Linked DNA regions of Rattus norvegicus. The protein of the gene in region 1 interacts with the protein of each later gene in a pairwise test. Links are inferred from orthologs where the notes say so. Each region holds a gene or a part of one and is shown in the gene's direction. Other genes may lie near its edges. The genes, in order: Nif3l1, Rabac1, Natd1, Dmrtb1, Trim27, Cdkn2c and Dhps.

The links.
Region 2: the proteins of Nif3l1 (region 1) and Rabac1 interact in binary tests that used the Homo sapiens proteins (3 or more experiments, as listed by UniProt). The two-hybrid records come from large-scale screens. The link is inferred for Rattus norvegicus from reciprocal best matches to the Homo sapiens genes NIF3L1 and RABAC1.
Region 3: the proteins of Nif3l1 (region 1) and Natd1 interact in binary tests that used the Homo sapiens proteins (3 or more experiments, as listed by UniProt). The two-hybrid records come from large-scale screens. The link is inferred for Rattus norvegicus from reciprocal best matches to the Homo sapiens genes NIF3L1 and NATD1.
Region 4: the proteins of Nif3l1 (region 1) and Dmrtb1 interact in a two-hybrid assay, tested with the Homo sapiens proteins (2 studies listed by BioGRID and IntAct). The two-hybrid records come from large-scale screens. The link is inferred for Rattus norvegicus from reciprocal best matches to the Homo sapiens genes NIF3L1 and DMRTB1.
Region 5: the proteins of Nif3l1 (region 1) and Trim27 interact in binary tests that used the Homo sapiens proteins (3 or more experiments, as listed by UniProt). The two-hybrid records come from large-scale screens. The link is inferred for Rattus norvegicus from reciprocal best matches to the Homo sapiens genes NIF3L1 and TRIM27.
Region 6: the proteins of Nif3l1 (region 1) and Cdkn2c interact in binary tests that used the Homo sapiens proteins (3 or more experiments, as listed by UniProt). The two-hybrid records come from large-scale screens. The link is inferred for Rattus norvegicus from reciprocal best matches to the Homo sapiens genes NIF3L1 and CDKN2C.
Region 7: the proteins of Nif3l1 (region 1) and Dhps interact in binary tests that used the Homo sapiens proteins (3 or more experiments, as listed by UniProt). The two-hybrid records come from large-scale screens. The link is inferred for Rattus norvegicus from reciprocal best matches to the Homo sapiens genes NIF3L1 and DHPS.

Annotation. Positions count from the first base shown.
Region 1 is NC_086027.1:67,472,843-67,477,201, forward strand, and holds the start of Nif3l1 (NIF3-like protein 1), read left to right. Parts: upstream 1-1,529; 5' UTR 1,530-1,583; exon of another isoform or gene 1,584-2,839; intron 2,840-3,204; 5' UTR 3,205-3,328; coding exon of another isoform or gene 3,329-3,335; intron 3,336-3,719; coding exon of another isoform or gene 3,720-3,742; coding exon 3,743-4,175; intron 4,176-4,359. Other genes in the region: Ppil3 (peptidyl-prolyl cis-trans isomerase-like 3), read right to left, coding at 582-584. UniProt on the Homo sapiens protein: May function as a transcriptional corepressor through its interaction with COPS2, negatively regulating the expression of genes involved in neuronal differentiation.
Region 2 is NC_086019.1:89,692,130-89,696,557, reverse strand, and holds the start of Rabac1 (prenylated Rab acceptor protein 1), read left to right. Parts: upstream 1-1,540; 5' UTR 1,541-1,645; coding exon 1,646-1,701; intron 1,702-1,943; coding exon 1,944-2,156; intron 2,157-2,401; coding exon 2,402-2,499; intron 2,500-4,207; coding exon 4,208-4,309; intron 4,310-4,393; coding exon 4,394-4,428. UniProt on the Homo sapiens protein: General Rab protein regulator required for vesicle formation from the Golgi complex. May control vesicle docking and fusion by mediating the action of Rab GTPases to the SNARE complexes.
Region 3 is NC_086028.1:46,086,998-46,091,385, reverse strand, and holds the start of Natd1 (protein NATD1), read left to right. Parts: upstream 1-1,556; 5' UTR 1,557-1,582; coding exon 1,583-1,679; exon of another isoform or gene 1,680-3,276; intron 3,277-3,354; exon of another isoform or gene 3,355-3,503; coding exon of another isoform or gene 3,504-3,573; intron 3,574-4,388.
Region 4 is NC_086023.1:127,678,330-127,682,611, reverse strand, and holds the start of Dmrtb1 (doublesex- and mab-3-related transcription factor B1), read left to right. Parts: upstream 1-1,360; 5' UTR 1,361-1,428; coding exon 1,429-1,993; intron 1,994-2,015; exon of another isoform or gene 2,016-2,108; intron 2,109-4,282.
Region 5 is NC_086035.1:48,243,321-48,247,661, reverse strand, and holds the start of Trim27 (zinc finger protein RFP), read left to right. Parts: upstream 1-1,604; coding exon 1,605-2,024; intron 2,025-2,556; exon of another isoform or gene 2,557-2,695; intron 2,696-2,761; exon of another isoform or gene 2,762-2,899; intron 2,900-3,107; coding exon 3,108-3,203; intron 3,204-4,341. Other genes in the region: uncharacterized protein LOC134482717, read right to left, coding at 637-673, 1,278-1,606. UniProt on the Homo sapiens protein: E3 ubiquitin-protein ligase that mediates ubiquitination of various substrates and thereby plays a role in diffent processes including proliferation, innate immunity, apoptosis, immune response or autophagy.
Region 6 is NC_086023.1:129,639,089-129,641,894, reverse strand, and holds the end of Cdkn2c (cyclin-dependent kinase 4 inhibitor C), read left to right. Parts: intron 1-1,387; coding exon 1,388-1,765; 3' UTR 1,766-2,159; downstream 2,160-2,806. UniProt on the Homo sapiens protein: Interacts strongly with CDK6, weakly with CDK4. Inhibits cell growth and proliferation with a correlated dependence on endogenous retinoblastoma protein RB.
Region 7 is NC_086037.1:39,988,562-39,992,765, reverse strand, and holds the start of Dhps (deoxyhypusine synthase), read left to right. Parts: upstream 1-1,347; 5' UTR 1,348-1,421; coding exon 1,422-1,628; intron 1,629-2,029; coding exon 2,030-2,194; intron 2,195-2,873; coding exon 2,874-2,995; intron 2,996-3,077; coding exon 3,078-3,174; intron 3,175-3,255; coding exon 3,256-3,342; intron 3,343-3,823; coding exon 3,824-3,929; intron 3,930-4,006; coding exon 4,007-4,110; intron 4,111-4,204. UniProt on the Homo sapiens protein: Catalyzes the NAD-dependent oxidative cleavage of spermidine and the subsequent transfer of the butylamine moiety of spermidine to the epsilon-amino group of a critical lysine residue of the eIF-5A precursor protein to form the intermediate deoxyhypusine residue.

The DNA of each region.
Region 1 (4,359 bases):
ACACTCGCTGCTATTCTACCTCAGGTTCTACCTGTGCTGCTCACACCTGCAGGGAAGGGCACACTAAACACCTGTTTATTCCTTTTTGTGTTTTTTGATTCTGGATCTATGTAGACATGGATGGCCTGGATTGGAGCTCCTATAGACGAGACTGGGTGCGAGTTGGCTTCCTGAATGCTGGGACAGTAGACCTGTGCCATCACAGCATCGAGATATCATTGTAATGATCATGCCCACGCGTTCACTCTACTCTGTACTCTCTCAGTGGGACATACAGTGTCTCTCAGTCTTCCCGCCCCTCCCCCTCCCCTCTCCTCCCTCACCCTAGGAATGCACTCTGCCACTGAGCTAGCTACATACTCGGTATCCTGTCTGACCGCCTACAAAAAAAAAAAAAATCATAATTTAAAACCAAGCCTGGGCTGCTGAGAGGGTTTAGCAGTTACCAGGATTTGTTGCTTTTGCAGGAGGACCTGTTCAGTTCCCAGCACCCACATCTGCTTGTGTCCAGCTCCAGGGAATCCAAAGGGGATAAAAACAAACAGCCAATCATCCACTCAGAATAATTCTACAATACTCACCATTCTCCTTCTTGATGCTTCTAGGGAGCACTATTTAATTTTTCAAAGCTCCTAAAAGAGAGAGGAATTAGTTCACTTTACCCTATCTTTCTCACCATACTTGTTCATCCTTATAGTAGATTTACAACGAAAAGTGTAGAATAGCATCCTCTAAATAAAAGTCCGACCATAGATGTGTTGAGATCCTACCCACGCAACAAACCACCGCAGCGCTCTACTTACTTTACCCATTTTCTTAAAGTTTTTTTTTTTTTTTTTTTTTTCCTGCAGGGGAGGCACATTCCTACCTCCCGGTCTAGTGCTCTAGATAGGCACCGGAGCTCCCTTTATCCCGGACACCTACTTTACTTAAGACAGTAAGTACAACAAACTTCCATACTTCACAGTTTTTTTACAGATGCCAAGTCTTGCTAACTTCACAATCGTATTTAGAAGTGCTAGAAACACCACCTCCAGCCCACGAGTATCCCAAGAAATAAAGTTGCACTAACGTGAGGCGCAGCAGGCGTTTGAGTGGAGGAATAAAAGGATAAAAGCCGTTACTCCGCACTTACACACCTCGCTCAGCACCGCTGCTGCGGTAACAAAAATGTCTCATTCACAGGTGCCGGCATGCCTGCGGGTTCCAAGAGTGTCAATGCACCACCGGAAGTGAGGCGCGGGGCTCTCCGCAGAGAACGCCCTACTCTCCCGCCAGTCTCTCCTCAGCACACGGACTAGGGCTCCTGGGGAGGGGTGGAATGGGGAGGTGGGGCATGCACCTCACTCCTCGGCCCCCTCTGACCGCGAGAGGGTTCTACGGACAACCTTACAGCGCCCAGATACCTCATACAGTCGTCTGGAGTCGGAAGCAAAGCGCACCGGACCACTTCCGCCCATCTTCTTCCTACATTGCCAGGAGCTTCAGGGCAGAGCGGAAGTGACACACCAAAAGAGTTTCTGCGACTCGTGGGTTGTGGAGGAGAGAAAAGCTCGCGGGGCTGTCTGTTCTTCACGCTGGAGGTGCACATCGGGGCCGGCTGTGGTGACTGTAGGGTGCCGGGGAACATGAACATAGGAACATTGCGGAGGAGAACTGCCTTGCTGCAGGAGGGGCGAGGGTCCTGACTCCAGGAGTAAAGGCTGTGCCACGCGGCCCTTGATTATTCTGGAAAAGGCCTTGAGCCATGCTTAAGTGAAAGTAGGAAGAACCGTACGTGAGTGTAAAGAGAGCGCTCGTGTAATTGAAAAATAGCAAATGGCTGTTCAGAGGGCTAAAGATAATGTAGATTGGCAGTGGATAGTTCTATCTCTGCCATGTACTGCAGCCCCGATTCACTCGCCCTTCCCGGAGTTCTCATTCACACCCACTAGTGCGGTTTTTCTTTCAAGCTAGTGCGTATGCGAGGGTGTGGTATTGGAGTGAAGTCCTCTCCAATCTTAAGTGCTTTCAGAAGGCCCCATATTTCAAATAATGCTTTAAATGTGTCTGTAGTGTGAGCACATTGTGTCAGAAACAGACCGGGACACATTCTTGTCCTCTCACAATAGAAGTTTATTGAATAACAATAAAACTACCAGTTACATTAGTTTTGTTGGTAGCTTGTTACAGGATATTTGATCACTGTGAACCCCTGAGATTGTGTTACTTACTGGGGGGGGGGGGGGGAACCTTTCTCAGTTGTAGGGTGGCTCCGCCCTTAGCACACACCTTTATTCCCAAACAATGAAGGTTAGTTTGTGGAAGGAGGCACCCATGTTTGAAAGTGATGTCTAATTGAGTGACAAACAAAGTGATGAATTAGAGAAAGCGTTGACAGAATAGGATATGCCCAACTCCCGCCAGAACAGAGAGAATAGAGAGGTGACTGAAGAGAGAACAGCACAGAGAGGGAGACGGGGGCAGTTTTACCAGGAGAGTTTTGTAGAGACAGGTCGAAGAGAAAACAAGCTAGACACAGGTAAAGACAGAATGAGTCAGAGAACAAGAAACGGCCAAAAGATTAGAACAGATTGCCAGGATTAGTTTGAGGCCAAGCAGAGCAATTCAGTCAGAGGCTGAGAGAGAAGCCAGATTGAATCAGTCAGCTTGGAGAAGAGTTTCAAGCCAGAACAGCTGAGTTGAACCAGCCAGCCGGAGCTTAGAAAGGGTGAGCTTATTTAGCAGTAATTCCTAGGGGCTGAAACCATTCTAGGCTTAGATAAGATTGTACAGAGGCTAGAAGTTTCCAGGACTGGGCCCAGGGTAGCCGACAGATGGGAGACGACAATTACACCAGGTGAATAAAAGATACTTTTACAATACCTGTTTGAGGCAAACATGTTCCTTTGTTCAAATCTACTATTAACTCTCAGATCACACATCACACTGTAAATATATCTCTCTGGTTTCAATTGTTTTGGTTCTTTGCTGGCACTGCCCTCCCACCATTCAGTTGATGACCATGGAAGATGTGGGTAGGGGCCCTGTGCTTTTCCTCTCTGTTTCTCTGTGTAGCAGTTGTCGTGTGTTCAGGGCAGCAGCTCTGTATGTTCAGAGCGACAGCTCTGGCCTTTTCTTGCTTGGCTCTGTTCATTTGTAGAGTGACCTATCTGCCTCAGTTCTTGCTCGTGTACTCAACATTTTAAATGATGTTTGTGACAGGGTCTTATGTACCCCAGGCTGGCCTTGAACTGACAGCATAGCTGACACTGCCCTTGCACCTCGTCCTCTACTGGATCACAGACAAGTGCCAGTTTCTGTGGTGCTGGGGACTAAACCCTTGTGCATGGTAGGTAAGCACTCAGCCAACTGAGCTGCTACATCTTCAGCCCTTGATATGTCAGTTAGTTCTAATTATGTCTAGTACGTATCTTTGTGTGTGTGTGCGCGTGTGCAGCAGAGATGCAGGGTCTAAGGTTGAAGCTGTGCTGGGGGAGCAGGGGGGTATCAGAGGGGATGAGCATTTATATTTCATCATACTCTGCTAAGTGACATAATAATGCTTTTGAAGGAAATGGAGAGGTCAGGTGACTTGGCCGTGCCCATCGTGCTGCAGGGCGGGCAGAGCAGCTATTTAAATCTGGGTCAGTGGCGAGAGCTGTTTGACTCCCATGCTTTATGCCTCAAAGTGCAGAAGTGAATGGTACATAAATACCATTTCCTTACTGTGATTCCAGGCAACCTTCTACCTGGTTTCCGTATGCTGTCATCTGCACACGTGGTCCCTACAAGTGTGCGACGTGCCCCATCGTGGATCTGCAGCTCTTCCCGTTCCTTCATGGATCTGAAGGCTCTTCTCTCTTCCTTGAATGACTTTGCCTCCCTCTCATTTGCTGAGAGCTGGGACAATGTGGGGTTGCTGGTGGAGCCAAGCCCGCCCCATACTGTAAATACACTCTTCCTGACCAATGACCTGACGGAGGAGGTCATGGAGGAGGCTCTGCAAAAGAAGGCAGATCTCATTCTCTCCTACCATCCACCTATCTTCCGGCCCATGAAGCACATAACTTGGAAGACCTGGAAGGAGCGCCTTGTGATCCGGGCTCTGGAGAACAGAGTCGCCATCTACTCTCCCCACACGGCCTATGACGCCGCACCCCAGGGAGTCAACAGCTGGTTGGCCAAAGGGCTCGGTGAGAAAACTCTTGACCTTTCATGTTTAATGATTTCCTTACAAATACTTTGAAATTTTAGAATGTCTTCCTAATAAAGTTTTAATTGTTTTTAGGGGCAACAGGTTTTTCCATTTTTATGTAATATTAAAAATAATGTGTTGCTTAAATTTGGTAATTAAGTTTCACTTGAAGATGCGCTTTA
Region 2 (4,428 bases), on another chromosome or scaffold:
CAAAACCCATCTACCACGAGCCTCCTCTCTCAGGAACCTGATTACCACCACCCACCACCCCATCACATCTCTACCTGAGGGTCCTGGCTTCCACTGTCCCAAAGGACTCCTTTCCCAATTGCCCCAGACACCAAACGTAAAATCCCCTGTATTCAAGGCTCCTGCATTCTCCCAATTAGCTTGCCACTTTCTGCAACATACCTCTGCCTTCTCCGGAAACCCTGCCTCCCACATGGCTGCTCTCCATCTTTGCTGTGTTTGAGGAGCAGAGACTTGAGAGTTATGAAATAGAAAGACTTTTGCGTAGTCCTCAAAAAGAAACTGAAATGATTTCCACAACTGTCAAACCCAGCTGACCTTTGCCACCAAATGGTTCCCAAGGCTGGCCTTGTGGTGTCCCTCATTAGTCTTTAGGCTAACTGTACACTATATGGTCGTCCACTGACCTTCTGAAGCAATGCTGGACCTCAAGTGGGAAACCCAAACACAATTTCCTGCTGAGTGGCCCAGACTGGAACCCCAACTGCTCATGATTGCCCTGTAACACCAGTTCCAGGAGATCTAAAACCTGTTCTGGTGGCGCACACACATAAACATATAAAAGTAAATCTTTTCTTTTAAAATAAAAACACTTATTTTGATATTTAGTATATGAGTACACTGTAGCTGTCTTCAGACACACCAGAAGAGGGCATTGGATCCCATTACAGATGGTTGTGAGCCACCATGTGGTTGCTGGGATTTGAACTCAGGACCTCTGGAAGAGCAGTCAGTGCTTTTAACCACTGAGCCATCTCTCCAGCCCCCGAAACACTTATTTTTAAATAATGTGTATCTGAGTGTGGACATGTACACATGAGTATATCTGATCCGCTAGAGCTGGGGTTACAGGCAGTTGTGAACCACTGGGTGTGGGTGCTGGGAACCAAGCTATGATCCTTTGAAAGAGAAACAAGTAAGCTCTCTCCAGCCCCACTTCCAAAGTAAGTACTTTTCCTTTTTTTTTTTTAAGATTTTTTTTAAAGATTTTTTATTTATTGTATATGAGTACACTGTAGCTTGCTTCAGGCACACCAGAAGAGGGCATCAGATCTCATTACAGATGGCTGTGAGCCACCATGTGGTTGCTGGCATTTGAATTCAGGAAGAGCAATCGGTGCTCTTAACCACTGAGCCATCCCTCCAGCCCCAGTACTTTTCTTTTAAGGAAAGAAAAGGTAAATGAACTCTTTCCCAGGCTTGCCCAAACAGAATCAGCTTTCTGGAGTCAGAACGACAGCTCTGCATGGTCCACGGAAGCATGTAGATCGCCTGTTTTCGCCTGTTTTTGCTATTCCAACTCCTATCAAATCCTCTGTCCTGACAGCCCACCTGCTGTATTCCACTCTGCGCCTCTTGAAACTACAATTCCCACAATGCCTAGTGGCTCCCGAGCTCTTAGCATACATCTCCCAAGATGTCTTGCGAGGCAAACCTGCCTCTTGACGCCACGAGGACTACAACACCCACAATGCTCCGAGGCACAACTACCGCCCCCTAGAGCTCCCAGCGGCGCCACTTCCATTGAGTCCGGCTCGGGTGGGGCCGCCTAGGTGCTGCTGGGCTCGGGGATATTTACAGCGGTTCTATTCACTGCAGCGCAGACATGGCGGCCCAGAAGGACCAGCAGAAGGATGCCGAAGTGGAAGGGCTGAGCGCCACGTGAGCAAGCAGGGTGTTACCCCCAGATCCGAGACGCAGAAGTCCCTGCCCCCGCAAGCATAGATCTCTCCCCTTCAGAGACATCTCAGCCCCTCACCCCCTGGGAGGGACTCAGTTGTGTTACCTTCCTCCTAGGACCCTTCCCCCCCCCAGGGTTCAAGGTCAACCTTGGGACCATGTATGCTAGAATCTGGGGTCCGGTACCCTATTCCTGCCTTCATCTTCTCTGCCCCGTCCTTTAGGACCCTGCTACCCAAGCTGATTCCCTCTGGCGCAGGTCGAGAGTGGCTGGAGCGGCGCCGTGCTACCATCCGGCCCTGGGGCACCTTCGTGGACCAGCAACGTTTCTCGCGACCCCGCAACGTAGGCGAGCTTTGCCAGCGCCTGGTTCGCAACGTGGAGTATTATCAAAGCAACTACGTGTTTGTGTTTCTGGGCCTCATCCTGTACTGCGTGTGAGTGCCTCCGCGGCCCCGCCCTCGATAGTCCGGCCCCGCCCCCGGCTGCCAGGCCCCGCCCAGACCAGTTAGCACCTTTGTCACCACAAGACCTGGTCAGTCTGTACTCTTGCATCCACTTGACCAGGGTGCAGTGTGACCTTCGCTGACCTAGAAGGACGTAACTTCTGTTTGTCCAAAGCTACAGGGACCTGGCTGATGCAGCCTCGGATACCTAACTCCTGTCTCCCACACTCTTCCAGGGTGACATCCCCCATGCTGCTGGTGGCTCTGGCTGTCTTCTTTGGCGCCTGTTACATTCTCTATCTGCGCACGTTGCAGTCTAAGCTTGTGCTCTTTGGTGAGAAATCCCCTGCCCAAATGGCTTCCCAAGCCTTTCTGATCGTGGTCTCACGGAATGCAAACCTCCGAATATTTGGGACTCAAGTCGGCCCCTACCGAGATGCACACTAGAGTCATTTAACCTGGTCCTTAAGGGCTTAGACCTACCAGGTGCTCCCCTCCAGTCTCAGCTTCTCAAACCCAGAGAGACCCCAAAGCCCCTGGCACCTCTGTCTCAGGTAAATGACTTAATCCAGTTCCTCCCAAACCCCGACGTAAAACATCAGCTGCAGATACCCATACTGGACACCAGATGGCGACCTTATGCAGGCTTAGATCCGTGTTCCTTCCCAAACCTTCGGATTCTCAGAGGGGAAAGGCCCCACTGGGAAGAAAGGTGTCAAGGAAGACTCTCTGAGGAGAAATCCAAGGGTTTCCAAGGAGACTTAAAACAAGTCTTTCGGGGGTTGGGGATTTAGCTCAGTGGTAGAGCGCTTGCCTAGGAAGCGCAAGGCCCTGGGTTCAGTCCCCAGCTCCGAAAAAAAAGAACCAAAAAAAAAAAAAAAAAACCAAGTCTTTCGTGACCCAGCAAGTTTAAGTACCAGACAAAGATGGGCTGTGGCAAAGGAATACTGGAACTTGGCTTCTGCAGATAGTGGTCACTAGGGTGCACACGTTTCTCAGGCATAGGAGAGCCTGGCCAGGGGGTGGGGGGGTGGGAGGGGAAGCATATATATTCTATATATATTGAGAGCAGGGAATGCGTCTCGTTCCAATTATGTCGTCTCCCAGGAACTCACTAGGCTGGCCTCCAATTCACAGATTCCCCCCACCTCTGTGTCCAGAGTACTAGGGTTGAAGAAGAGGGCCAGCATGTCCTAGCCTTAAAAAATGTGTGGGCTGGGGATTTAGCTCAGTGGTAGAGCACTTGCCTAGCAAGCACAAGGCCCTGGGTTCGGTCCCCAGCTCCGAAAAAAAGAAAAAAAAATGTGTAATGCAGGAGCCCCTCTGGAAGACAAGTGCTTTTAACTGCTGGGTCACCTTCTCCAACCCTCACAAACCAAATTCTTGTGAAGCTCATCAGAGAACACATCCCCAAAACAGAAGCTGGCCTGTGCCTGGAATTCCAGCACTTGTGAAGCTGAAGCAGGAGAATTGCTCCAAGTTCAAAATAAGCCTGGGCTTCAGAATCTTTAAAAAAAAATAATAATCAGACTAAGTGTCTAGAGAGATGGCCCAGTGGTTAGAATTGAATACTGTTCTTGCAAAGGATGTGGGTTTGGTTCCTAGCGCCCAAGTCAGGTGGGTGCACCATAGCCACCTCCTCGGGCACCTGAACTCTCGTGTACATATGCCCACGCAGGGCATATACACATAGTTCAAAATAATAAATCTTTAAAAAGTAAAAAAAAAAAAAAAAAAAAAAAAAAGGACAAAAATGCTCAGGTCAGATTTGGCTCGGAGCCACCTGGTAACCAGACTGGAACATCAGGCCCTAGACTGAGGTGGCCTGGGGCTCCTGGGGAAGGTGGAGCAGGGGCGGAGCTGAGGAAGGTCGTTATGGGGACAGGTCACTTTGGGGAGGTGGGGTAGGGCCAGGGGTGGGAGGCCCTGATGTGAGGAGTCTGTATTATTACATGGAAGGTTCCAGAGTCACACTAGATGGGTGCAAAGTGGCTCTGGTTACCTCTGGGAACGGCTGGCTGTCTTACACCATCTGTCCCCAGGCCGTGAGGTGAGCCCAGCACATCAGTACGCCCTGGCTGGTGGTGTCTCTTTCCCTTTCTTCTGGCTGGCCGGTGCTGGCTCCGCTGTCTTCTGGGTCCTGGGTGAGTACAGGGTCTGTGTAGGGAGAGGCTGGGAGCCAGGTGAGCGAGCCTGTCCTGAACCACCTGTCCTCCTACTTCCTACAGGAGCCACCCTGGTACTTATAGGCTCTCACGCTGCC
Region 3 (4,388 bases), on another chromosome or scaffold:
TCAGTCACTTTGCATATAATGACCCACCTCCACCTTCTTTTGTTTACAAATGCTGTGGTAACAACACACACTTGTTAAGGAAAGGAAATTATTTGCTCAGAAAAGATTCTCTCAATACTATGTCTGGCCCCGAACCAAGCAATAAAAATAATTGGAAGAAGTCAAAGGAACAATCTGTGGGCAAAAAAACCAGGGGAAAGTGTTCATTAAGTGGATATATAAATGGCCTGGCAGGCTGGGAAAAGGTTCAAGAGCCAGTCACTGCCACTAATGACAAAATGCCCATTGCAGCTTACCCAGCCATCTGTAGCAACGTAGGTAAGATTGTAATATGGAAAGGATCTTGTAGTTTTTCACAAAACTAAATATAGACCAGCTATAAAACTCAGCAGTATATTCCTGGGAGCTACCTAAGGGAATGCTGGCCAGAGGACATCCACGTTACTCATAGCAGCCCCGAACCAAAACAACACAACAACCTATTAACACGTGATGGAAAACTAGTACATGCTCACTGGAAAATCTCTGACACAGTGATGAACATGATAGCAGTAACAACATGGCTGATGACAGGTGGAAGCAAAGAAACTAGATACTGAAAGGTAAATATTGTGTAGTTCCATTTGATAGGATGTTCTTAGGAAAAGCTGTTTAGTCAGTAGTGCTAAAAGTCAGGGGGCAGAGCTACATCAACCCACGGAGATCTCCATTTAGCTGTAAAATACTTCCTGGTTGGTCTGTCCCGCGCCTCACACACCCCCCCCCCAGCCATCGCCCTCCTCTGTCTCTTACACACACACACACACACACACACACACACACACACACACACACACATTTTGTACAGGTTTCAATTTACAACCTTCAAGCATTCCATTTGAGGTGTACTCAAACTTTCTGTATGTTTATCTGTGGTCTCTTAGATACGGACATCAAATGTGCACCTTAATTAACAGAATGTGATTCTGTGAACATTCTCGGTGGGCAGGCTTTCCAAATACTATGCTTCCAGGGAAACACTGATTCCTGGGTAGCTAGCTCCCTAGGGACCTCACATTTCTGCCTTTCTTTAGGAGGGGTGGCTTTTCACCCAGTCCTAAATATGCCTCGGGGTAATCTCTCAAAATCAGCTACAGGTGCCCGGAGTGGATGGGCTGCATAGCGCCAGCCCGCACGGTTCCAGCTGAGAGTAGATATACCTTGCGTAAAAGAGGTCTGACATATCTATGCCTCAGGCTTGCAGTGAGGCCAATGCCTAAAATTCGATGGCTGTCCCGGGGAAGTTCAGAATTGCCCCACAGGTCATTGCGTGCTTTTCAGATGGGTCCGTGTGGGTCCTAATGATCATTCTGGAGCATTCAGGAAGACAATCGGTGCCCTTGATGGGCCAGCACATCATTGTTGAAGCCGCGAGCGAAACGCGCAGCGCGGTCTCTTTAAGAGACTCCAGGAATGTATCCAAACAGACCGTGCGCGCGTGCACGTGACTCACAGCTGATTTCCGGCCCCGCCCCCTTCTCCGGCCCGCGCCGCCGAAGAGTCAGTTCGCTGCGGCCCGCGGTCCCCAGTCTTGGTGCGCGCGATGGCGCACGCTACCCCGCCGAGCGCGCTGGAACAGGGAGGCCCCATCCGCGTGGAGCACGACCGCCAACGCCGCCAGTTCTCCGTGCGCCTCAACGGTACCGCGCTGCCTTTGTTTGCGCGCGCGCGCGGGCGGGACGGGGCGGGACCTGCGGGCGGACGGATCCCCGGGCGGGAGGGCTCCCGAACCCCGACTGGCACCGCCGGAGCGCGCCGGTCCGGGCAGCCCGCACCTGCTAGCGTAGCCGGCCTTCGGCATCGCGGATGGAGGGCTGCCACCCTGGATCTCAGAGAGCCGGTCGCTGGTGGCCTGCCACTCCACTAACCCCCGGGTGTTCGGTTGCTTCCTGCCGCCCTGGGGGAGCCTGCGCGGGCCTAGGGCATAACCCAGGGAATGTGTGACCTGGAGGAGGAGGCGGGTAGTGAGTGATTCTGAGACTTTGGCCAACTTGTCTAGTCTGTGTGTGCCTCGGTCTCCCAGAATCTGCAGTGCGGATAGCTGTAGTGCACACCGCTTTGGCTGCAGTGGCAGTAAAGGTTCAGAATGACACATTTGGTGCACAGCAAGTGCTGATAAACATAGATAAATGGTTACTTTTCAAACCAGATAGAGAGGTCAAGGCCTCATCTTCTGTAGCATTTGTACCAGCAGACCGACACTCCTCCCATTTCCCTAAGGTCTGGAAAAGATTGTGGAATATGGGACCTTGAACTCTCTGTAGCCCACTCCTCCCAGCTGGACCCTCTGGGGACATCTGAGACCGGACTTAGCCACTGCGCTTATTTTGATTGGATGGATGCACTTGTGTGAGGTCAGCCAGTAGGTTGTAAGTAGTCAAGTGTAGCACCCTATCCTGACTTCCTGAGCCAACCTGCACTTGGTCACAAGCAGAGGAGGCCTAGTCTCCCATTTGTGCCACCTAACCTTTGTGGCGGCAGCTGTTACTTCCTGTGTTGTGACATACCGCCCCATTTATAGATGAGTAAACTGAGGCTGAGGCTGCAGGAAGTGTGACCTGTTCAGCCTTAACAAGACCAGAGTCATATTCAAATCTGGGCCCAGCCGCCCCATGCCATACTCTTTCCATAGAGAAACAAGACCTGTTGTCATGCTGATGGTAGCTCAGCTGACAGTGACACTTGGCCCTGATCACTTGAGAGGCCTTATCTGAGGTTTTTTTTTTCAGATCCTCTTTTCTGAAGTTTTTCTTAGTTCCAGGGAGGCTCTGCTTCTCTAGGTGACTGTGGAGGCACCTCAGATCCACAGAGAGAAAGGCCAAACCCTTGGGCTAGTTCGTTTGTTCGTTCTTTCCCTTCCAAATGGGTCCAGTCAAAAGGACAGTACTCTGAGAGCTGGCTGCGAACAGACCATATTCTTAAAAGTTAACCGTTCTGCAACCTGCTGCCCCATTGATGGGGACACAGAGTGACTAGAGGCGGGCAACCACTCCTCAGCTCCTCAGCACAGCCTGGGCTAGTAATTTACTGAGTACCTACCATTTACCAGCAGTCTTCAGATGCCCAGGACTTGTGGGGCTGGCAGTCTAAAGAGGGAGATGGGTCTCAAATGAATTGCGTAACATCTCACAAAACAAAGGCCCTTGGAGAAGTGAAGCTGGGCGGAAGGAAAGGGTATATTGGGGCAGAGCTGCTGTTTGGCATCAAGTTCCAAGCAGGTGGTATTTAAGTAAAGACCTGAAAGAGACAAGAAACAGCTGTAGCGGTGAAGAAAGGCAGCAAGTGAGAGGAGTAGTTGAGAGCAAAGGCCCTGCAGTACCCACTGTGTGTTTGAGGGCACCCAGGAGTGGTGCAGGCATAAAGGAGCGTGACAGGTAGGATAAGGCTAAGAGATCAAGGGGACGAATAATATAGGACCTGGACATGTGAACTGGGGTGTGGCTTTGACCTGTGGGTTCCTAAAAATGCCTTGGAAAGAGGACAGATGCCATGGACCAGGAGCCCTAAGGCTGTGTCGAGGGGGAGCATACTGTGGTACGTGATAGAGTGGGGAGCTTCGTACTGTACAAGTCGAAGCAGTGTGAGCAGGGTTGGGAAGAAATGTCTAAGTCCTGAGCAGCTGTGACAGGGAGCATGGAGGGAGTTTGTTGTTGTGGAGGAGACTGGAACCCAAGTTACATGGCTCCAGTTTGACGTTCTGAAAATGCTGGGCGTGTAGCCACTGTTCCGTGCTTGGGAGACCAAGGCACAAGGCTGATGGACAACTAGTCCAGAATGGATCCTTGATTGCCTTCTGAGAGTTGTCATCTGAAGGCTGAAAGGTTGGGCCCTTGCATGGCCTTTTCTTACTTCCCTCAGCCACTCAGGGTTTGTGTGTATGTGTTTAAAGATTTGTTTTTGTTTTTAAATTATTTATTTTATGTATGTGAGCACACTGTCACTGTCTTCAGACACACCAGAAGAGGGCATCAGATCCCATTACAGATGGTTGTGAGCCACCCTGTGGTTGCTGGGAATTGAACTCAGGACCTCTGGAAAAACAGTCAGTGTTCTTAACCAATGAGCTATCTCTCCAGCCCCTAAAGATTTGTGTTTTGTGTGTGTGTGTGTGTGTGTGTGTGTGTGTGTGTGTGTGTGTGTGTGTGTGTGTAAAAGTCAAATAAGAGCATCAGATCAGGCAGCTGGCGTTAGAAGCAGGTGTGAGCTGTCAGACATGAGTGTTAGGAACTGAAGTGGGGTCCTCTGTAAAAGCAAAAAGCCCTCTCAACTGTTGAACCAGCTCTCCAGGCTCTGGGACCACTACTTGTTGCAAGAAGGCTCACTCCAATCCCTCCCAGAATCCTCTGTGC
Region 4 (4,282 bases), on another chromosome or scaffold:
AGAGAGAGAGAGAGAGAGAGAGAACAAAAGCCAGGATAGAGGCACATGTCCTTAACCCAGATGTGTGTGTGTGTGTGTGTGTGTGTGTGTGTGTGTGTGTGTGTGTGTGTGTGTGTATTTAAATGACAGGTTGTGTGTGGGTTATTAGATTTTTTTTAAAATGGAAATTGTGTTTGCTTATGTGTGTATGTGCACGTCTGCATGTGCGTGCATGCGTGTGTGCGTGCGTGCGTAGTGTGTGTATGTGTGTGTGTGTGTGTGTGTGTGTAATTTTTTTTTCTTTTGGGTAGGACTACTCAGCAAAGTTGGGTGTTCCCTTCCTCTAAGAGTAAACAGACTTGAACTCATGGTTTGTCACAAAACAAGCAAATCGCGGCTCCTTGTAATATCAGTAGATTCTGGGTATGAACACCGTCCTGGAACAAGCTCCCCCAAGCTAGATCTGTACACGCTGGGCTGCGTGCCCCACACTGGATGAGCAGATATCTCGGGAAGGTTCTTGAAAATGTTTTACTTCTATGGCTCCCGTTCCTGAGAGAAGTACGCACCCTCCATCAGTGTTGTATTACAGTGGCTAAGGAATTCTTGTAAGTTTTGTTTGGCTTCCTAAAGATGATTAAAAGACTATGTGAAACAATAAACACGCTCGCACGCACGCGTGCACGCACGCATGCGTACACACACAGACACACACACCCCAAACCCAAATATTCAAAATAGTTCCGGAATATCATGTTTCTTTTACTTTATAACATTATTAAGCATGAAATTTTCAGACCAGAGTGCTGACACAAACAGAACTCAAAAACTCAGGGTTTCTGCAATGCCTGTAAGTAACCAACACGGCACTAAGCTCCTAAGAATATTCTGGAAGCATGACTGCTTTTTTTCTCTACAGAGGAGAGAAATGAAAGCAGAAGCAGCTGCTTCAGGGAGGAGAAACATTGTGTTCTCTGGAACTTTCCAATAGTATGGGTTTACTAACAGCTCTGATCCTCAGGAGTTTTAAACCTCTGGACCGTTGAGTACACGTCCGCCATTTTTCAAAAAAACAAAACAAAACAAAAACCTATTTTCCAATTACAATTTGGTAGGAACAGAAAGCTTGAAAATTCAAGTGCCAAAAACTTTCAAATAACTCATATGACATACATGCAATAAGTATTCTATTTTGAGTTTACTCCGCACCCCATGGCCCAACACACAGAAACACTGTAAATTTAGCACACACACCTGGAAAGTGGGAAAAATGCAAGAGCCCTGTTGCAGTTCTCGGGACACTCAGTGAGCTGTTTTGTTACAAGTGTATCCAATGTCCCTTGCACCAGGGATTTATGGGGGCACAGCTCATTCCTGCTTCACTCGCTCTGCAGCTTCGGGAAGTGGTGGTTGTGTTTGGAAGCAGAGCTTGCAGAGCTGAACGGCAAGATGCTTCGTACCCCCAAGTGCTCAAGGTGCCGGAACCACGGCTATCTGGTACCAGTCAAGGGCCATGCGGGTAAATGCCGCTGGAAGCATTGCATCTGTGATAAGTGCTACCTGATCACCGAGCGCCAGAAGATCATGGCTGCCCAGAAGGTGCTCAAGAACCAAGCTACGGAGGAGCAGGGGGCGACCGTGGGCACGCAGGGTCCCCAGCTGCCTCCTAGGGCTCCGGCTCCGGCAGCCGCGACGGCCACTGCCTCGAGCTCCAGCATTTGCCCACTGCCTAGGGCGGCTCTGGGAGGTGCTGGGCCAGGCCCCGCGGCCACCTGCTTCCTAGAGAGGTCCCCGCAGGCCCGGAGCCCAGGCCCGAGCGCCTTCCAACTGGTCCCAAGTGGCCGTCCAGGCCCCAGCACCTTCCAGCCTGGATCGGGGGGCTCCGGGGGACTGCACGACCGTCCTCCCGCGTGGCTGCCCCAGCTCAGGCCACAGGCACCCAGGCCTGAGCTTTGCTGCCCGGATCAGCACCTGCCAGTGCGGCCCGTGCCCCGACTGCCGTTCGCCGACTACGGTAAGCCCAGCCTCGTGCAGCCGACGGTTCCTCTGGCCTGCATCAGGCCTGCAGCCTCCCGGCTCTAAGCTGGAGTCCCAGACTGGTGCTGGGGTGGGAAAGGCGCCTTTCCCAGGTAACCCCCGCTTTGAGAACACGTTCCCAGACAAGGATTTGGGTGGGCGGCTTCTGACTGCAATGGGAAAAGGCTGGTGGGAAAGAGTGAGCGGTGCAGGGGGGTTTATGTTGAGATGCAATTTTCTGCCTTTGTACTTTTGCAAAGAAAAAAAGATGGCAGCTGGGCAGCTTTGGCAGTGGCGCCTTTTTGTGGACCCTCTAGCACGCCTCGCACGGCTTCCCTTCCCCTCCCCCTCCCATGTCTAGCGGTCTTGCGCCTGCGTGACAACCCTCCTCCCACTCCCTGCCTGCCATTTTCTCTTACTAGAGAGTCTTTTAGAACTTGCTTTCTGGGTGGCTGTTCGCCTGAGACTGTGCCTGCGCACCCTTCTCTCATTTAGCGGAGTCTAGTTTATCTTAACTGCAGTGTATGGCCTAACGCACCTGTACTCACTTTTTCTGTTTTACCGGATGTGGTTGGGAATAAAACTTTCAGCTACTTGGCCAGATGTTACGGTTTTTCTCACTCCTCGCTTTGTGCATAAATAATATTGTTTCTTTATGCCGTGTTGCGTACCTGATTAAAGTACGATTTCTTGTGGAATTTAAAAAAAAAAGTATTTATATTTTATAATTTATTTATTGTAATGTATTAGTGTTTTGCCTACACGCATATCTGTGTGAGGGTGTCTTATCTCCTGGAACTAGAATTACAGATTCGTGTGAGCTGCCATGTGGGTGCTAGGAATTGCGCCTGGGTCCTCTGGAAGAGCACCCAGCGCTCTTAACCGCTGAGCCACCTCTCTAGCCCGTGAAGTATGCCGTTTTCAAGTAGTGTAAATTTTGAGGCTCTTGGAAAGCGTCTCTTTGGGATGAAGATGTGGTTTTTTGTTTGTTTGTTTGTTTGTTTGTTTGTTTTAGTTTTTTTTTAAACTCTCCTTCCTTTGGACATGTTTCTTCCTTGAGGGGCAGACTTTCAGAAATTAATGCTAATCATTCCTAATGTTTCTGGGATTTTGTAAAAAAAAATCTTTTCCCCAAGGAACTATCTGTCTGATGAGGAAGGCAGACCTAAACCTGTAATCCTGTGAGAGCACATCTGTATTCCATCTCTCAACAAATAGAATTTTAAAATGTGCTGAACTCGGGTGTTCATAAGGAGGTGGGGAGAAGGAGTCACTTGTGGCTAATCCCCGCATGTGTGAAAGAGAGGTCAGAGGGCAACTTTGAGAAACTGGTTCTTTCCCTGGGATGGAGCTCGGGCTGTCAGGCTGGTGGCAGGTGCCTTTACCTGCCCAGCCATCTTGCTGGCCCTGATGGTGCTGTTCTCGATTGTCCTATGGGTTGGTGAGAAACCCCCCAGAAAGCACAACTCTGGATGCATTTTGGTAGGTGTTTTCCAGAGAGAGTTTATTTACTTAAGTAGGAGAGGTGGGTCCTGAATGTGGGTGCCACCATTTCAGCCTAGGGTTTTGGATAGGATGAAAGGTGAGAAAGAGAAAGCTTGTTAGCAGATCGTTCTCTTGGCGCTTCCTGGTGAAAATGAACTGTTCTGCTTCACCATAGCTAGCACCAGGATGTTCTGCCTCACCAAGACTCACAGGCGATGGGGCTAAGAGCCCTGAACTGTGAGCCAAAAACGAGTCATCCCCTCTTTAAACTGCCAGGGTATTTGTCCCAGTGTCAAGTAACTGACTAACACACCTTCCTTGCCCTCTGGGATCCTGTCCTTGTGGGGAGAAATAATGTTCTTCAAAGCATCAGTGAGAGAGGGTTCTTTTTTTTTCTTTCTTTCTTTTTTTTTCGGAGCTGAGGACCGAACCCAGGGCCTTGCTCTTGCTAGGCAAGCGCTCTACCACTGAGCTAAATCCCCAACCCCAAGAGAGGTTTCTTAATCGATGAGCCAGCTGCCATCTGGTCTGGAGAGGTCCTTAGGTGGCTGAAAGAGCAAAACAGCATGGCTGAGTGAGTGTTCAAGGACAGCGGGGCTAGAAATGAAGAGGGGAGATGGTGTCTCTGTGACCACAGTGGAAACTGCCTGGGCTGTGCCGTTCACACCGGCACTGCCAGGAACTGAAATTGAAGCAGAGTCCAGTGGTGGGCGAGAACCTCCACAAGGCGGCTTAGATGTCCTTTCCTGTCAGACCAGCCCCATGGAACAGTGTGACTGCTGCCGAAGCCAAGGGCTCACAT
Region 5 (4,341 bases), on another chromosome or scaffold:
GATTTCTTGTCCCAAGGGAAAGAACCGAGCAGAATCCAATGAAGTGATGCTCTGGATACAGAAATTCCCTGTCCAGACACTGAGTCAATCCCAAAGGAGAGTAGGAAAGGCCACGGCAGAAGTGACAGGGCACAGAACTGCAAATCTATTCTGTGATAAGAAGCTAGCCTACAAGACCTCCTCGGGTCGTCGCAGAATTCTCAATTGGGCAGAAACAAGCAAGTTTTAGGTTCTACTCAATGCCGTTCAATGCACTGGACACTTCATTTAAACTAATGGATAAAAATCTTTATGGCTCAAGCTGTGTTTTAAAAAGTTTAACTCACGGATGGGGAAAATTCCTGAAAGCAACAGTGTATGGGGGCTCAAGGAAGACACTGAAACAGACTGCTGGGAGTAAGAACTTTATTAGCGCCATAGGCAGATAGGCGGTGGACAATCAGAATTTCTGGCCGCGCCACAGGCGCCAGGGGGAGGTGGGGGCTGGGGAGTGTTCGAGAATGAAGCCCACGTGGCAGAATCAGGGTCGTTTCTTCTAGGGTCTCATAGGAACCCGCGGCCAGGCTCCTTCCTCAGCAGGTGGTAGGGAAGAAGTGTGTCATCAAGTAGCTCTTTGATATGTCTGGTCTGGCTACTTCACTTGAGGAAGTGAGAAACTGGGCACCAGAGGAGCCTGTTAAGAAGTTAGGGACTCACAAGCGGGCTCTCGGTGAGGCAGCTCCCTAGTAGCCGGAAGGCTAGAGAGAAGGGGAAGGACTTCAGTAGGTATCAGGGTCTGGTGAGCACTCTGGTCTGGATTCTATCAATCCCCCATTTCACGCGAGAAGAAAATGAGGCTCGGAACGATAAACAAACTTACTTTAGGGTGGAAGTAGAAGTGGGCTTCTCCATTTCTGCCACTGAGAAAAGTTGCTGATAATAAAACCTTTTTCTGGCGATTATTATCGCCTGGAGTTGGGTGTGTTTCAGAGTGCTTCACACACTGGGAGGGGCTTAGCTGGTCTCTCAGCCCAGTTTTCCGGCACTTATGCAAAGCCACCTTGCATTTAAAGGAGCCAAGGCCTAGGCACTAAGAAGACACCCGGCAAAGGACTACGGATCCACCAAAGCTTAGAGTATCCCGACCCCACTGCCAGGGACACCCTGCTCCCACTGCAAAGGGCAACCACCACCGACTCCCGGGCTGGGTACCGGGGCTCCAGGACTGCGCCGAGGAAACCCGCCTTCCCGCCCCGGAGGAGAGCGGCGCGGGAAGCCAGGCCCCGCCCCCGGCCCACCTCTTCCGCTCGGCCCTTAGGAGTCTGCGCGGCCCTGGGATCCCTTCCGACGCGGCCACGTTGCCCGGTGAGCCATCCTGCAGCGCCGGGTTCCCGACACCCCTCTGCTCGGCTCTCAGCCGGGCCCTGGGGCCCAGGCCTTCCCGCGCTGTCCGTGAGGTGCAGCTGTGCGGGGACGGGTCTGGCCGCCCCAGAGCTCCGCACGCGTCTAGGATCCCCGCGCCGGAGGCCCCACCCCGCTCCGGATCTGAGAAGCCGAGAGAGAGCGCCGGGCTCTGCCAGAGCTCGGCTCCGGGCTCATGCCCTGCGGCCCAGCCGGCTCGCGCCATGGCCTCAGGGAGCGTGGCCGAGTCCCTGCAGCAGGAGACCACCTGCCCCGTGTGTCTTCAATACTTTGTGGAACCCATGATGCTCGACTGCGGCCACAACATCTGTTGCGCGTGCCTGGCCCGCTGCTGGGGTGCCGCGGAGACTAACGTGTCGTGCCCGCAGTGCCGGGAGACCTTCCCGCAGCGCCACATGCGGCCCAACCGGCACCTGGCCAACGTGACCCAGCTGGTGAAGCAACTGCGCACCGAGCGGCCGTCGGGGCCGGACGGCGAGATGGGCGTGTGCGAGAAGCACCGCGAGCCTCTGAAGCTGTACTGCGAGCAGGACCAGATGCCCATCTGCGTGGTGTGCGACCGCTCGCGCGAGCACCGTGGCCACAGCGTGCTGCCGCTGGAGGAGGCTGTGGAAGGCTTCAAGGTAGGGCCGGGCCGGCGGACAAAGAGGAGAGCCGGGGGCTTCCTGGTTTGCCGCCGAGAAAATGGCGAGCCGGACGTGGGGCCCACCGCCGTCATTTCCTCCCTGTCGGCTGCGGAGCCTCCGCGCTCAGACTCGGAAGGAGAACCTGTAGCTGGCGAGGCCAGAGGCGTCCCCACCCCCACCCCTTCTCCGAGCGCCCCCTGTTAACTGCCTCAACGCGTGCCGCGGCTGGGACGGCGCGAGGAGACCCTCCCTTGACAAAGGAGATGCACATGGAGCCATGTCCACTTCCATAGGCCTTGAACACCTCGAACTTGCTCTGGCCCAGGATATCAAACCAGACAGCCCCTGTTGGCTGGCCGAATTCACATCGACCGATGCCTATCACTTAATCTAAGCCCCCAGCGCTTCCCTGTAACCTGTTTTAGAACCTAATGGAAATGAACAGAGCTCTTTACTGCTTGAGTAAATCATTTAGCCACTCTCAGACTCGGGAGATAACTTAATGAAGAGGAAGTGAACTCACAGGACCTGAAGAGGCCTTTGTTGAATAAACACTGGCACAGCTACACAGTAATTCGAAAATGTTACATATAAAGTAACTCTCAAGTGATAATGAGTCTGTTTTGAGGACTGCAGGGATATGTACCAACAGTTAGATTTGTTTAAATGTGAGTTCATCCAAATGTCAGTCACGTTTACAAAGCTGTATCATTTCACTCACTGGAAATAAAGTTGTAATTTAGTAATGCTTACCAGTTCTGTGCATGAGGAAAATAAATCATTTTTTTCTGTATTCGTCTGAGGAATAGCTTACCTTTTGAGCCTCTTTACCCAGATGTCTCATAACCTGTGCAGAATGCTTCTAGGAACTGGTAGGTGGCTTGAGTTTAACAAATTTCTAAAACAGCTGTGCTGGACCCTGTGCTTTAGGCTCTTCCCAGGAATGGCACTGTGGTCTGAGGACAGAGTCCAGCCCGGCCTTGGCATCTGTAGTTTGGGTTCCTGTGTCATAAGCAGAGTAGCTATTTTGATGCTGAGATCTGCAAAATTCTGAATTGGCTGACTGTTTACTTTCTTCAGGAGCAAATCCAGAATCGGCTGGACCACCTAAGAAGAGTGAAAGACTTGAAGAAGAGACGGAGGGCACAGGGGGAGCAGGCACGAGCTGAGCTCCTGGTAAGGGTCCAGGTCTCCAGCCTGCAGAGAGGCATTGCATCAGGATAGCCTTGGCAAGGGTGTAATGAAAACTTCTAAGCAGAGCATTTCCCCTTGGTGTCTGTCATTCCTATCATTTAGCTCCATCCTGTCTCTGAGTGAGTGCGATCTTGACACCTCTTGCTTGAAAACAGGATGAAGAAACTTCTCAGTGATCTTGTGTAGACTAAACTTAAACATACAATGTATCATATCAGCTTTGGGAGGATTTTCCAGAGAGAAATACTTGTGCCAGTGTGTCAGTCACACTGCTTTGGATATACTCAGTAAATTGATCTTTAGCCTTAATTTTGTCTAAGGTTATATTGTATACTTTATACCTTTGAAAGACTTATCCAGGTTAAAAGAGGTATAAGGGGCCCTTGGAACAGTTGAATTCAAGTCAGATTTTAGCAAACTTTCTGAAAGGGGCCAGTAATAAGTATTTTTAGCTTTGTTAATTTACACAAGCTAAATCACAACACCTCAGTCATTGCATCTCAAAAACAGCCATGTCTAATACATAAATGAGTGGGTTTGGCTGGATTCAAGTAAAATCTTTCTTGACTGCTCTAGAGCCATTTTGCTGACCATTTGTTTATTCAGAAATAGTTTCACTATGCAATCCAGGATGGTCTTGAACTCTCCATATTCCTGCCTTAGTCTCCCCAAGTGCTGGAATTATAGTATGCACTGCCACACTTGGTTTATAATCTTAGAACTCTAGGTTTTTTAGGATGTCTTAGGTAGCCCCAGTTGATCTTAAGTTCATTATATAGTTAAGAGTGATCCTGAAGTTCCAGTCTTGCCTTGTCTGCCTTCCAAGTGCTAGGAATGCAGGCATGGAGGAATTAGAAATGTAGGAAAGATAGACAAACCAATAGAAACATTGTATGGAGAGGAACCCATAAGCACCCCCTAAAAAATCAGGGCATGGATTACTTACTGAGACCAAGTAAACACATCCAGGAAACTTGTGCTTGCTCGATCATACCAGGTCATGTCCACAGAGTGCACACCTAACCCTGCCATTTCACTGTGATTGTTTCATGACTCCGCCTGCCAGGCAAGATGTTCATGGGCTCCAGTCATGTAGAACAATGCCTTTTCTCCCCACTTT
Region 6 (2,806 bases), on another chromosome or scaffold:
ATTAGTATTTGATTCTAATAAATATTGAGTATCCAGTAAGTAGCCCACTTACTATATTATTATATAACTTAGAGTCTTATGAGTGTACCCAATTACAAATGAAAACCAGCTCAAATGCTTGGATTTTCTGGCATGTTAATGAAAATAATTTTTACAAGTTAATTAAATATATTTTTGCTCTCAAGTGCTGTTATACAAAGTATTTTTACTTATGAGAGTTTTTTTACTTAAAGATAGCTTTTAAAGTGTACATTTAAACAGCAGTAAATAATTCCGTGTAATATAAAATATTTTGAGCCTTGATAGCAAGTGTTGATAGTCTATTCTGACTTTCAAAACAGTGGTAGTTTACAAATAGCTATTCTCATATGTAGTGAGTGCAAACGGAAATTAGACAGGCTCACCAGTTGATTATTAAATGACTCAAACCACAAGACAAAGCTGACTGTTCCAACACACACATCACATATCTTGCTTTTACTTTTTGTTCACTTGAGTACCAGAAAGCTAGTTAGAACTTTGAGTAGTCCTATTAATATAGTAGGATGGCCATTTGATTCTTTTCAGGGATGGTAGCCATGCAATCATTTCCTCCCTGATGTGAGGCACATCACCAACTTAGTTCAAAATAAGTCGATATAGTAAGTAATGTAGAACACAGTGGCTTAATTTAATACCTAAATGGCCGAGTAATATTCTGTAATTTGAAATGAAGCCTAAGCATGGAATGCTCCCAGTAGCCAATATTTTAGCCTGTAAAGAAAACATACTAATGCTTGGACAGTTCAAGCATATCTATTTGGAGGAGCCTTGTTAAAACTAATCATTTAAGAAAATGCCAACTCTGGGATTTTAAAGGATCCATTCTATAGGAAGTGACACTTATGGGGGAAGTTTAAAGATTCCCATCATTGGTTTTCAGTAGCTATTAGGAAATAAATTTTATCCTCATTTAATCTTCCAGAATTAATACTCCAGGTATAGTTTATGAGCATGAATAAACAAACAGGAGGCCTTTTACCCAAATTACATTCCTTTATAAAAAAAAGAAAAAGAATTCATGGGGGAAAAATACACACACACAGGTCTTTGTGAAAGATAACCAAATTAGCCATCAAATTTCTTCGTGTTTCAAGAATTCTGTTTTATTGACCAATTTATTCTACTACATCTGGGCTGATTTAGGCTAGTTCATCAATTTTTGTAGGTTTTCTTCTATGTTTATTGACTGGTAATTTCCTACTGCCACAACCTCCAAACTGTATTCTATGGGTCTTCTTCAAGAATTGAATCAAAAATAGTTACCTAAATAGGACAAATAAATGTCTTTAAATATTGCTGTGGCTCAAGCCTGGAGGGATTCTCCCATCTTTAACTTCTTTCCTAGGTTATGAAACTTGGGAATCCGGAGATTGCCAGGAGACTTCTCCTCAGAGGTGCTAATCCCAATTTGAAAGACCGAACTGGTTTTGCTGTCATTCACGATGCTGCCAGAGCAGGTTTCCTGGACACTGTACAGGCTTTGCTGGAGTTCCAAGCTGATGTTAACATCGAAGATAATGAAGGGAACCTGCCCTTGCACTTGGCTGCCAAAGAAGGCCACCTCCCTGTGGTGGAGTTCCTAATGAAGCACACAGCCTGCAATGTGGGGCATCGGAACCATAAGGGGGACACCGCCTTCGACTTGGCCAGGTTCTATGGAAGAAATGAGGTCATCAGCCTGATGGAGGCGAATGGGGTTGGGGGAGCCACGAGCCTGCAGTGAGTGTGGTGGTCTTTTCCACCCACCGCCTTCTCTTTGTCCCTTAGTTGGCTGGCTGTCCTGTTTTACTATCACTTATTAAAATATAGGGTTTCGTTTTGCTTTGTTTTCATATTTTAAGCAGCTAGTCAAATCCTTCAAAACTGCCTAAGTGGAAATCTTACTACAAGTTTATGAAATATTTAAACATCTTTTTCACTGTCAAAATTCTGATTTCTAACATGTAATTGCATATGGCTATCTGTGCCTTTCTTCTGGATATTTTATCTTTGATTTTTTTTTTCTTTCCTTGCTTACCCTTTGCCATTCTCAATGTCTGACTTGGAGACTTTGTTTTAAAAATTATTTGTCCTGATGCATCTTTTGCCTAATTAAAACACATTTTTTCATAAGAGGACCACATTTTCCTGTGATTTTTACCTGTGATTACAGCCCACCCCTTTGTAAGAAGTGTGTTAGAGTTCATGATAGCATAAGTCTTAGCATTAGAAAGGAACACACTGGAAGCCTGGTGCCAGTGTGACTGCAGTGGAGCCAGTCCTCTTATCTCCTTCCCCTGCCCCCTCAAAGAATCCATTGGCTGGCTCTGCTCATATTAGTATTTTGGCTTCAAAAAAGAATATGCCCAGCAATTTCGAAGATCAGGCTTGAAATTATTTCAGTATGAATTCCTTGTAATGTCCAACCAACCCCCTTTTCTCAAATTTGAGTCAACTGGCTGAAAGGTAGTTTTTGGAAGAGCATCAGCTCTAAAAAGCACCACTGACGTGGTGCTTCCCTTAGGTTAGGTGACTTTTTAAAACCATAAAATGAGGGGCTGGGATTTAGCTCAGTGGTAGAGTGCTTGCCTAGGAAGCGCAAGGCCCTGGGTTCGGTCCCCAGCTCCGAAAAAAAGAACCAAAAAAAACCCATAAAATGAAACAATTACTTAATGTGTTTCAAGCCAGTGCAACACCGGCCTTCCCCCCCGAAAATGTCAAAAATGCAATACTATAAAATGTTTAAGTATTAAAAATATAAATATTGGTATTCGTGGTAGGAGAC
Region 7 (4,204 bases), on another chromosome or scaffold:
CAGTAGGTGTCATCAGACTCTCACTTGGGATTCAAGTCCTTTTGCCCTCCTGCATACTACCCATTGCAGATCTCCCTGCAGCCAGATGTGGCATTTGGGCACTGCTAGCCTATAGAGGAGGTTAAACGAAGGGGAGACCTTTATCTGTGCATCTTTGGGGAAATAGTGTCTCTGATATTTTTATAACAGGAATTTTCTGGGTCTTCTGGCCTCAGTCAAAACATCATGTGTTTGGCAGTTTTCTCCAGTCACCTTTTCCCTCAGCTCTGGTTACCAATTCCTCCAACCCACCTTCACACTTAACAGAGTGTGTGTGTTTTCTAGGCCAGAGGACAACCTCAGATGTCACTCTCATTCACCTGGTCCCTAAACCTGTGTGTATGAGCTTGTGCACGCATGGCATGCTTGTGGAGGTCAGACAATAATGTAAACAGGTCCAGACTCTTCTATCATGGGCCTTTGGCTACTGAGCCATTCTTCAGGTCCCATCCCCAAGGATCTACTGGTCTCTGCTTACCCAGAGCTATTACTGGTATTGCCAACCCCCTACCCCTCTTGAGTTCTGGCAATTAAACACACATATTCAATCCACACTCTTGCTTTTTTGCAAAGCAAGGACTGTACAGACAGCTATTTCCCTAGCCATGCCCGTCCCTTTTGTTGAGAAAGGGTCTTGCTTTCAATAGTTCAGGCTGGCCTGGAACTCGAGATTCTTTTGCCTCCACCTCCTGATTGCTGGTTTAGCCACCTAATGGTTTCCTGTTCATCAGACTATAGTCATCAGGAGGGCAGAGTCCATTGCTAAATCGCAGCGCCCAGCAGAGAGCACTATTTCTAGTGTAGATTACACAAACTGTAGAATGAGGGTGCCCCTGTCCTAGGTTCAGTGTATCATTAAAGGGGACGCATGAGAAAAGATTCTCAACAAACTTCTTTCGGCAAAAAGATGGTGGTCATCCCTGTCTCCCCAGAGGCCTATGATCCAGTGAAAATTGAACTATGGTTGTAGGGGGAAAAGAAGTTTGTAGCGACTCGAGGAAGCACCGAAAGAAAACACTCCCATTTGACAAAAGTCTGCAACTAACTTGTCCAAGGGCTCCGTCCTAGAAACAATCACCTCGCTCATGGGGGGACAAGAATATTTGGACAGACAGTTTGCAAATCAGGCACTTTTATCTACTTGAAGCTGAATCTGCCTACAAGGAATAACAAACAGCTCCTGGACCACATGTACGGAACACGGGAATAAAATGGCTGCTACCAGGCCCGCAGGCGCTGCCAGGGCCATGTGACTCAAGTAGCTTCCGGTACCCCTCCCCCGCCCCCGAGTCGCATTTCCTGGGCTCCGGCGGACCAAGCTGAAGGATTTGGCGGGTTCCAGGGCACCGAGACTGCTGTGACCAGAGAACGGCCGAGAGCGCATGGAGGGGACCCCGTCGGGGGCGGCGCCCTCCTCGGCGCTGGCCGCTGTGCTCAAGCACAGCTCAGCGTTGCCGCCCGAGAGCGCCCAGGTCCAAGGTTACGACTTCAACCGCGGGGTAGATTACCACGCGCTTCTGGAAGCCTACGGCACCACCGGCTTCCAGGCCACCAACTTCGGGCGCGCGGTGCAGCAAGTCAACGCCATGGTGAGGCGCCGGGCGACCCGGGTGGGAGGCGGGGCCGCTCCGTCCGCGTGAGTGCCGGGGAGAGGCGGAGTCCTGGTTAACTAGTGTTCCGCGATGGGAGGAGCTTGGGGTTAAAATCAAAACGGGCTTGTAGGAGGAGCTTAACGCTGGGAGAGCCCTGGATTCGCTTTTCCCACTGGAAGGAGTCCTGAAGAGAAGACACTGTGTTGTTCTTAAAAGGGAACAAACCCCAAGTGACAGACCAGGACCTGGAATGGGAGGGTTAGGGTCTGCACAGGGGTTGTGCTTTGGTTTTGTAGTAGTCTCCCTGAGTGCAATCAACGTCTGGAATCCAATTCATGTGGGGTTCCTCCACTGAGGTTTGGAGTTTTAGTGCAACTTTACTGTGCCCCTATGCCCAGATTGAGAAGAAGCTGGAACCACTGGCAGTAGATGAAGATCATCACGAAGACCTGACTCAGAGCCGCCGCCCACTCACAGGCTGCACCATTTTCTTGGGCTATACGTCCAACCTCATCAGTTCTGGCATCCGGGAGACCATTCGCTACCTCGTGCAGCACAATATGGTGGGTCCACGTTAGATCAGTGGCCCCAGCCTCTCTGGGCCAGTAGACAAAAGGGTTATTGTTCATTTAAGAAACATGAAGAGGCTCAGAGATTAAGAGTATTTGCTGTTCTGTGAAAGATTTGGGTTTGGTTTCCAGCAACCACCTGGTGACTCACAACCATCTGTAATGGGGTCTTCTGTGTGTCTGAAGAGAGGGAGAGTGTATTCACATACATAAAATAAATCTTAAAGGGTGTGAGGAAATGGAGTATTGCTTTTAGACATACTGGCAGTTTCTTCCTTCCTTCCTTCCTTCCTTCCTTCCTTCCTTCCTTCCTTCCTTCCTTTGTATATGAGCACACTGTTACTGTCTTCATGTACACCAGAAGAGAGCATCAGATCCCATTACAGATGGTTGTGAGCCACCATGTGGTTGCTGGGAATTGAACTCAGGACCTCTGGAAGAGCAGTCAGTGCTCTTAACTGCTGAGCCATCTCTCTAGACCCATACTGGCAGTTCTTAGACTTCAGCCTCCTTTCTGAGTGCTGGGATCACAAGAGTGTGCCACGTTTTCTGGGTCTGCTTTAGGCTTGAGTTGGTTTTGTCATAGAGCTCATGCTTTGGGTCTGGATGAGCTCAGGCCAATGTTAGGGGCACTACTTTGAAGAAGGGTCTGTGTTGTTGCTGGTGACCACAGGTGGATGTACTGGTGACCACTGCTGGAGGGGTGGAAGAAGATCTCATCAAGTGCCTGGCACCCACATATCTGGGCGAGTTCAGCCTCAGGGGGAAGGAGCTCCGGGAGAATGGGATCAACAGGTGAGGCTCTGAGTAGTGGTAGGAGCAGGGAAGCCGCGTTGAGGGTCCCAGTGTCTGATGCCCTCATGGATCCCATTTCTAGGATCGGGAACCTGCTGGTGCCAAATGACAATTATTGCAAGTTTGAGGACTGGCTCATGCCCATCCTAGACCAGATGGTGCAGGAGCAGAATACAGAGGTAGGGCTGGAAGGGCTCAGGTGGACCTGCATAGTTGAGTCAGAAGACATGGGCTAATACTGATATTCTCCCCCTTGTTAGGGTGTGAAGTGGACACCTTCCAAGATGATCTCCCGGCTTGGGAAGGAGATCAACAACCCAGAGTCTGTGTATTATTGGGCCCATAAGGTGGGTTGGGTGGGGACAGTATTCTTGGGGACAGTACTTAGGCTTTGACTTGCAATGACTTGTTTGACTTAGTAGCCACCTAAAAGTCTCAGTAATCATTCTTGGTCTTCCCAGAGTTAGACGAGGAATGTCGAACAGAGAGGCTAGGCGTCACTTGACTGCAGGGTTCTCCTAGCTATGCCCCTACACTCCTGGGACTCGGTGTAGTGCTTTAGAAGTCGGTGGGGCCTGACCCAGGGTACCATGTGCCCAGGGACAGTGCAGCTCAAGAGTCTGGACAATAAGACACTGCTCAGTGTGCCAGTACCTTCTTCAAGCCATGTGTGGTTTTTCCTCACGTCTGCATCCACATGCAAAGCAGAGGGTCATGTGCACCAGAGAAATCAAGCAGCCTACTCAGGTCGGGAGGGATGCCACTGGGTTGGGCATCAGTTTTGCTGGGGTATGAGGTGTAGCTGCTAACTGGTCCTATCTCCACCAGAACCACATACCTGTGCTGAGTCCTGCACTCACAGACGGCTCACTGGGTGACATGATCTTTTTCCATTCCTATAAAAACCCAGGCTTGGTCCTGGACATCGTTGAAGGTGAGGTGCTAAGGCCCTGGGAGAAGGGTGAGAAAAGCCCACCGAGTCCAAGGCCTGACCTCTGCCCTCTCTCCCAGACCTGCGGCTCATCAACATGCAGGCCATTTTCGCCAAGCGCACTGGGATGATCATCCTGGGTGGAGGCGTGGTCAAGCACCACATCGCCAATGCTAACCTCATGGTGAGTGGAGTGGCTCTTGGCAGCCATCCCCACCCTCTGCTCTGAGAGATGGTGGTATTAGATGTGCACTACAGCAGTGCACTCGATGGGCCAG